Canis lupus familiaris: one gene and its partner. The protein of the gene in region 2 interacts with the protein of the main gene of each other region in a pairwise test. Links are inferred from orthologs where the notes say so. Each region holds a gene or a part of one and is shown on either strand. Other genes may lie near its edges.

The links. The genes of interacting proteins can lie anywhere in the genome.
Region 1: the proteins of SUV39H1 (region 2) and CBX5 interact in binary tests that used the Homo sapiens proteins (3 or more experiments, as listed by UniProt). The link is inferred for Canis lupus familiaris from reciprocal best matches to the Homo sapiens genes SUV39H1 and CBX5.

What each region holds. Positions count from the first base shown.
Region 1 is NC_049248.1:45,611,169-45,614,819, reverse strand, and holds part of CBX5 (chromobox protein homolog 5), read left to right. Parts: intron 1-3,172; coding exon 3,173-3,273; intron 3,274-3,651. UniProt on the Homo sapiens protein: Component of heterochromatin that recognizes and binds histone H3 tails methylated at 'Lys-9' (H3K9me), leading to epigenetic repression. In contrast, it is excluded from chromatin when 'Tyr-41' of histone H3 is phosphorylated (H3Y41ph).
Region 2 is NC_049260.1:42,096,587-42,100,674, reverse strand, and holds the start of SUV39H1 (histone-lysine N-methyltransferase SUV39H1), read right to left. Parts: upstream 2,938-4,088; 5' UTR 2,881-2,937; coding exon 2,841-2,880; intron 1,330-2,840; exon of another isoform or gene 1,176-1,329; coding exon of another isoform or gene 1,157-1,175; intron 1-1,156. UniProt on the Homo sapiens protein: Histone methyltransferase that specifically trimethylates 'Lys-9' of histone H3 using monomethylated H3 'Lys-9' as substrate. Also weakly methylates histone H1 (in vitro).

The DNA of each region.
Region 1 (3,651 bases), on a different chromosome or scaffold from region 2:
TCTCCCTCTGCCTGTGTCTCTGCCTCTCTCTCTCTGTGTCTCATGAATAAATAAATACAATCTTTTTTAAATAAAAGTAAAAAATAAAATATTTACTAATTTTTTTTCTAATTTTTTTGTTTCAAAGATAGCACTTATTTTTAAACTTTAAAATTCTTTTTTAAATTGAAGTGAAATTCACATAGCATGCAATAAACCATTTCATTTTATTATTAAGGATTTATTTGAGAGAGAATGAGCACGTATGCATACATTGTTGGAGAAGGGCAGAGGGAGAAGGGAGAGAATCACAAGCAGACTCCGCTGAACAGGGAGCCTGACCTGGGGCTTGATCTCAAGACCCTGAGATCACAACCTGAGCTGAAACCAAGATGCTCAACTGACTGCGCCTAGACGCAATTAACCATTTTAAGGTGTACAGTTCAGTGGCATGTATATTCTCTTTTGAGTCTATTATTTCTACATACTCCAAATAATTTTCATCTTTTTTTTTTTTAGTTCAGTTTATTTTTTTTAAGATTTTATTTATTTATTCATGAGAGGCAGAAAGAGAGGCAGAGACATAGGCAGAGGGAGAAGCAGGCTCCCTACGGGGAACCTGATGTGGGACTTGATCCCTAGACCCAGGATCATGCCCTGAGCTGAAGGCAGATGCTCAACTGCTAAGCCACCCAGGCATCCCTATTGTTAAGTTTAAAACGTGTGTTTATGAAAGTTTGGTTTGATTTAGTTACTTTAATTCTTCTGATCTTTAGCTCTCAATCACTAGCATAAGCCCTGTTCCTGCTTCTCTTTTTTTCATGTGTATATTTTCCATCTGTACACACACACAGACACACATATTACCCACCCCCCCAGCTTCCAATCCTTTCATTTATTTCAAGGTTATGAAGCCTTTTGTGATGAAGGATGTATCATACCCTTAACATTTAATAAAATAAAAGCATAAGTCCACTTCAGAATTTTCTAGTGTCCCTACCATAAGCATCTCTATTTATCTTCATTCTACTTGATACCCATCTTTCTAGAACATTAGTTCTCAGCCCTAGCTGTACATTAGAATCGCTAGGGGTGGGTGAGGGGCTTAAAAAAAAAAAAAAAAAAAAAAGACCAAGTACCCAAGATACACCTCAGACTAGTTAAATTCAGACTTCTCTGGGTTGGACCCTAGACATCAGTATTTTAAAAGACTTACACAAGTGATAGAGAAAATGGGAGATCAGCTTTCCAAAAAGAATTGAAATAAGAGTGAAAGATTGGAGGCTAAAAGTGAAAGTGCACTCTAGGTTTGTGTCTATCTCTTTATTTGCTTCCCTGGTTAATTTTATTTTTTGCAACCATATTTTTAAAACTACTTTGTTTTGGTGAGGTATGTATATCATTATGATATACTGTACTGATAAGGAATTTGAGAATGCCTTCTCTTCTCTAAGGAGCTAAGACCTGGTTTGCTCTTTCTTTTTTATTAGTCCTTTGTATTCTGGCTTTTGTTGTTTGATTCATTTTCTAGCTAAGTAAAGAGACCAAAAAACAGCACAGCAGAAGACTTGGGACTAGCCATTTGTGACATACGTTGTGTATTTCCTCAACCTAGGGTTTCTCTCCTTTCAAAAAGGAGCAGTCTGGCTTAGACCTACTGGCCGGCATAGAGAGTTTCTTTCCTGGGCCAGGTTCTGATGCTGCTGACCTTGAAAACAACCCCCACACGTCCCTTGTAATGTTCATCTAGGGTCCCTGACAGCATTCTCAGCAGTGCTGGCGGCTGTCAGGTAGGCAGCCAGGAAGATAGGTGATTGTATGTTTTAAAGGTACAGGAGGGGATTGCGTTTCTTTCTTTAGACCACTGCAGAAGAAATTTGTTAGTCGGCATTATGCCTGATTTAAGATTACTGCCTGTGTGATGATTTTAGCATTTTCCTCGCCTCGGCTCCTTTTCAGCAGCTTGAACATTTTTCTTCCCTTCCCTCTCTATGTGGCAAACTGTTTTCAGCCGCCAGCTATGATTTACAACTCAGTTTGTGTGCCAGCATTCCAGCTGTGAGCAGCTGTGTGCACATCTGGGAACCTCCTCCCCTTAAGCGCCCCCAAAAGAGGCAGTGTTTTTAAGTCAGTATCTCCCCTGATCCGTGCATGGAATTTCCTTCCCAGTGTTGGTTCTGGTATCTTTGGGGACCACCTGGATCCTGAATACTTTGTATCTCTCTCTCTCAAAAAAAAAGGGCAGAGTAAATGTCAGATCAAAGAGATTTTATTATGAAAATCGGACATCAGAGATCTAGTTCATTTGGGCAGTCTTTTTAAATCTTTTTTATGTTACCACTAGATAAGCTTGCATTATCTTCCATAATAAGGTTTTTAAAATTACCTGGTTTGTCTAAAATTTCACTGTTTTGCTCTCATCAGTGCCATCACACCTGAATAGGACTCTGTGCTCCTTGTCTTGATTGCATGATTGCATTTTGACCAAGTTTGAATAATCTAGAAAATTACTGGTTTGTTTTAAATCACTCTCCAGTTCTGTTTTCTAGTGCTAACAGCTCATGCATATCAGGAGGGGTTAGGCACAGACCAGGGCCTCTTCTCCAAGTGTGTGGGTATTGTGCAGTATGTGAGCTCTGAAAGAGATTTGCTATTTTATGGTACTGCCTTGAATCATTCTTATCTCTGTTCTTTCATAAATATAAACGACTGTGAAAAATATTAAAAATACTGGTCAGTGTTAAGGTAGACTAAATGTCTAAAAAAATTAAGATGGAGAAGCGGTACGTTTGAGTTTATAAAATGAAAAAGGGTTTAGTTCGGGTAAGCATGGACTTGTTTATCATCTCGGAAGCAACAATTGAGAAGTAGTCAATTCATAATATCAAGGAGATTAGATTAGAAGGTTAGATGAGTTCCTAGGTGATGCCTCCAGAATATCTTAAGGGATATGAAAGAGTTTTAGGGGCTGCTTGTAATCCTGTGAAAGTGTAGTAGAAGGACAACTGCATCTAACAAAAATACTTCTTGGCGTCATTGTCACTGGCTGGCCCAGTATTGTATTTCTTAAGTTCTAAGAATTCTTTGAATTTGTGACAAAAATGAACTTAGGTTGGGCTTTGTTGAGCTGTGAAACTTTTTTTTTTTTAACTCTTCTCCAGACTGTAACCTTTTCTTTATCTTCTATTTATAGCAGAGCAATGATATCGCTCGGGGCTTTGAGAGAGGACTGGAACCAGAAAAGATCATTGGGGCGACAGATTCCTGTGGTGATTTAATGTTCCTAATGAAATGGTGAGAGAGATTGGGCTTCACTGTATAGTTGTGTTTCTTTGCCAGTGGCTTGAATTTGTATAGAAGATAGGGAAGGAAGGCAGAGTATATCCCGACTAAGAATTTTGATTGTCAAGAATCTTTGGTTTATATCACCCATTAGTATTAATGGAAATTATGGTTGGGAGTGGATTTAAGACATTCTCAAGCCTTGGTATTAAGCCAAATTATTTTAGCCCAAATACCTAAGGTAGCTTTGAGGTAGGAAACGTATAGACATGACCTAACCATTTATTTACACAGTTCTGAATCATTTACCGTTAGACCATGAGCCTGTGGCCATGAGATAGGAGTTGAGTGAGGCTTTCTGGCATCACTAAGGATCAAAACAACTGAATA
Region 2 (4,088 bases):
TACGCTCTGAATTCAGGAACCAGCAAAACAGTATAGGTTATTGACAATTCTTTTAAATATACCTGGAATGTTTCTGGTGCTATCAGAAATTTTCAAGACGCCGATTTAAAGGAAAGAAAAAGACTTCTGATTCAAGGCACAATGTGCTTTAAAGCCATTTTATCAAATCATTCCATTGAACACTAATTCCAAATGCAGTCAGTACTCATCCTATTTTTAATATCGTCTACCTCCCGTTAAAAAAATCAGACATTTGAACTCCTAATGAAATACTGCAGACGTCAACCTGAAAACGTACAAGAGCATTGCAAAATTATTTCGTGTGCACAACCCCCCCTCCACTGAGGCAGGCCTAGTGGAGACTCAGCCTGTGCCCACGCTTTCCTCTCCCTATGATGCCTCTCCCTTTCAAGCCCCTTAACTTGCATTTGAAACCCCACTAAAGTGGTCCCAAACTAACCTCTCCAGCTGCTGGCTCCGCACTGGCCACAGGTGGATTCCTACCTCTCAGAGGTCCCCCTCACACTGTGGAGGCCATCCTCCCCGCAGCTATCCTCACCCAGAGGAGCCCACCCTCCCCAACATACTGGAAAAGTCACCCCTCTTTCCCTACACACGAGGGAGTCCAGCTCTCCTATCAGAGAAGCCCCCTTTCCCCTCTTCCCTGGGGAGTCTTCTCTACAGCAAACCCTTTCCCCATCACGCGGAAAGGAGATACCCTCACCATGAAGAGTCCTCTGTCCCCCACTCTGAAAAGGAGGTCCGTCCCCTTCCCTTCCCTCCCCTTCCGGCGTCTCGCGTGGACACCAACCGGGTAACGGTCACTGGCGGCCGATTTTCCCGCGCGCGGGTGCGGCCTCCCCGACAAGCCCCCGCGCGTGCGCGCGCCGACTGGTCGCGATCAGAGGCGCGCGCCCCCCTGCCGCGTCCCCACTTAGCCCCGCGCCCGCCGCGTTCGGAGGCACGCGCCCCCTCCCCTCAGCCCCGCCCAGCCCCGCGCGCCAGGCCCGGGTTCCAAGAGCCCCATCCTTTCCGCGCCAAGCTTCCGGCTCCTGGCTCCGTGGCCTCAGACGCCGGGGCCCCAAGCCCGCGACGCCACCCCTCTAGCCCACCCGGCCCGGCCAGCAGGCCGGCGCCGCTACCGCCACTGCTTCACCTTTTAAATTTTCCGCCATCTTTCCCCACGGCTAACGACATTCGGGCCTAACCGGCCTCGCGAGAAGAGAGCTCGCGCGGGCGTGGCCGAGAACGCGCAGCCTATTGGCCGCACGGCGCCGCGAGCATAGCCCGCGCGGACCAACCGGCGAGCCGTGACCGGACCCCTCCCCGCTACCCCGCTCGGTCCCGAAGGCGGGTGCTCGCCAGCGCTTTCCCAGAGTGCGTCTGGGCGGCAGCCGCAGCGGCGGCAACTGAGGTTGCCGGAGGCCCTACCCGTACGCTGGTCTGTCTGTCACGCTGTCAGCCAATCACGTTGTCAGCCGGCCGCACGGGGGATTCTCCGTCCTGTCAGACCCCCAATTACCACCGTCACTCGGTCGTCACCACATTTTAACCCCAAGCTGGCCGTGACTCCCAAGATGGACTGTCACCACGTACAGCTGCTCAGCCAGTCCCCAGAATTAAATCAGACAATGGGTCCATCACCACAGACAACTGTTTAGTCAGACCCCGGTCCCCCACCCCCATTCACAGGGTCTGTCAGTCAACGGCAGCATCCGTTCGTGGCCAGCTGCGAGTCTTAAGGCAGACACGCATTCCTAACAACTACACTGTTAGCCGGCCTATCATTCCCTCTGGCTGCCCCTTTTTCACACAGTCAAGCAGCCGGTCTCTCCATCTCTTGCTCTGGGGGCAGCCCTGAATCCCCCTTGGGAAAGCCTCTCACAGCCACCAGCCGTGGCTCAGGTGGGCCGTGATTAGGTGAGGACAGGCTGTCATTGTCATCTGATGTCGCCCTCTCAGGCAGTCACACTGTCCAGTGTTGGTCAATATTTAATTCCCTCAGGTTACTCCTCATTCACGCCATGATCAGGCAATTATTCCCTCAAAGAAATAGTCACAGCAACTAAAGCCTCCATGCCACCTGACAGTGGGTCAGCAGTCTGTCACTTCTCAGCGAGGTATGCCCACCATTGGTCAGTCATTTGGTCAGTCTCCGTGGGGCTCCCTCCAGGCGGCTGTGATTCCAACCTGATACAGCCATCCAGTCAGGCAGCTACACTGGTATTTCAACTGGTCAGATGGCCTGTGAGTCGTTCACTGCTCTTCATCGTTTTGTCAGTCGCCAGGCAGCCATTCTCAGCATCTGACTGACCACACATGGTCTATGTGGTCAGGGTGGACAGTCACTCACCAGATACAGTTGCCTATCAGGCAGTCACAGATCTGTCCCTCAGTCAGCCCGAAATTCCTTCAGGGTAGCCCTCCTTTACACTGCATCAGACAGTGTAACATCCAGACACTCCCTCAGGCCAGATGTGACTCCTAGCAATAGTCAGCCACGCACAACATCCCGCCGCCCAGGCAGCAGCAACAGCACACACCACCAGTCAGCCAGCTTGTCAGTCCCTTGGGAGGCTGCCTGTCTTCTACACTATCAGACCACCAGTCCCAGCCAGTCCCAGGTGGGCATAATTTAGTTAGATATTCAGTACCTCCTACCATCAGGCAACTGCACTGTCAGTTCCTCAAAGCGCCCCTTTCCCTGTTGGCACATGAGTTATGTGGTCAACCAAATGATTACAGTTAAGCAGATGGTTGTTCTGTCCACCTGCCAGTCTAGCTCTGAGCTTGTTGGAGAAATAGACGGTCAGTCTGAAGTTCCATCAGCTCCTGCTTACCATGACTGGAACAATCAGCAGCATACGTCCCACCACGCATCCTCTTCCTTCCCTTATTCCTTCTAGAACACAGTCAGATGCTGGTCCTTGCGTGCTCCCAGTCTCCCCCAAAAGGTAAAACCCTCCTATTCCCAGGAGCCTAGTCCAACCCATAAGAATGGCTTAAGGCCCGACTGAATCTGGAGGGGGTGATGTAGGAGCATGTGGGTGTTGGGCAAACATCCCTTTGCCAATTTGAAAGATAAAACTGCCAGTTATGTTACCAGCAAAAGATGAGTTTATTCAGGAATAGCTGAGAATTGCAACGCAGAACAAGCAAGTTATGGCAAAACCATATGCAAGTCCAATAAACAAAGGAGAACATTATGTTATGGAGAAGGAGGAGGTTGGGAGGGGTTTGGAACAAAAATCTATTGGACAACAGCAAGAGTTCATACTGATGATGGTTTCTCATTGGCTGAGTTGCAGGAGTAGTCAGTTTCTTAAAGGAGATAGGATGTACATCTTTCCTTTGTTGGGGGCCTATAATTGACCATTCTTTCCTGTTGAGATACTTCTGTTGGGTGTGTAGCTGAAACTTTTTGCAGTAGACATTGTGCTGTAGGCTTCCTCTACCAGCCTCCCCTTCTAACATCCTGAGTCCATTTAAGTAAGGTTTCCCTTTCTTAATTTTCACACCGTGGTCCTCCCCAAACAGTATATATAATGTAATGAGTAGAGGCATGGATCTTGGAGCCTAGCTACCTGGATTCAAATGGTAGCATTTGCTAAATTGTGTGACCTTAGGCAGTTTCTTCATCTGAAAATGTCAGATGAGTGGCTTTGGGGTGGGTATCTCCCACTCATCTGGAAATCAATCTTTCTGGACTAGCATCTGTCCAGGAGACCTCAAAAGGAAGAGGCCACCCTATTATTACTGTGTCCCAATCCCAGCCATTTGTCTGTTCATTCAGCACTACTTTAGTGCCAACTGTGTATATTGCCTTGCCCAGTGCTGGGGCCAAATAAGGTCTTCTCCATTCCAAGCTGTATAGGTTTGACCTGTTTTCAATGCAAACCCCATCTTTGAGTGTACCACACATTTAGGAGAGGTCACAGGCCATGGGTGATCAGTGTCATGCGTTTTCACAAGCAAACATAACTGTGGGACCAGAACAAAGGTTAAGAAACATCTCCAGCCAGAGATCCAGGAACACTTAATTCTGGAACATCTCTGAATTCTGGCTGCATCTCCCAAGCACTGGTGAG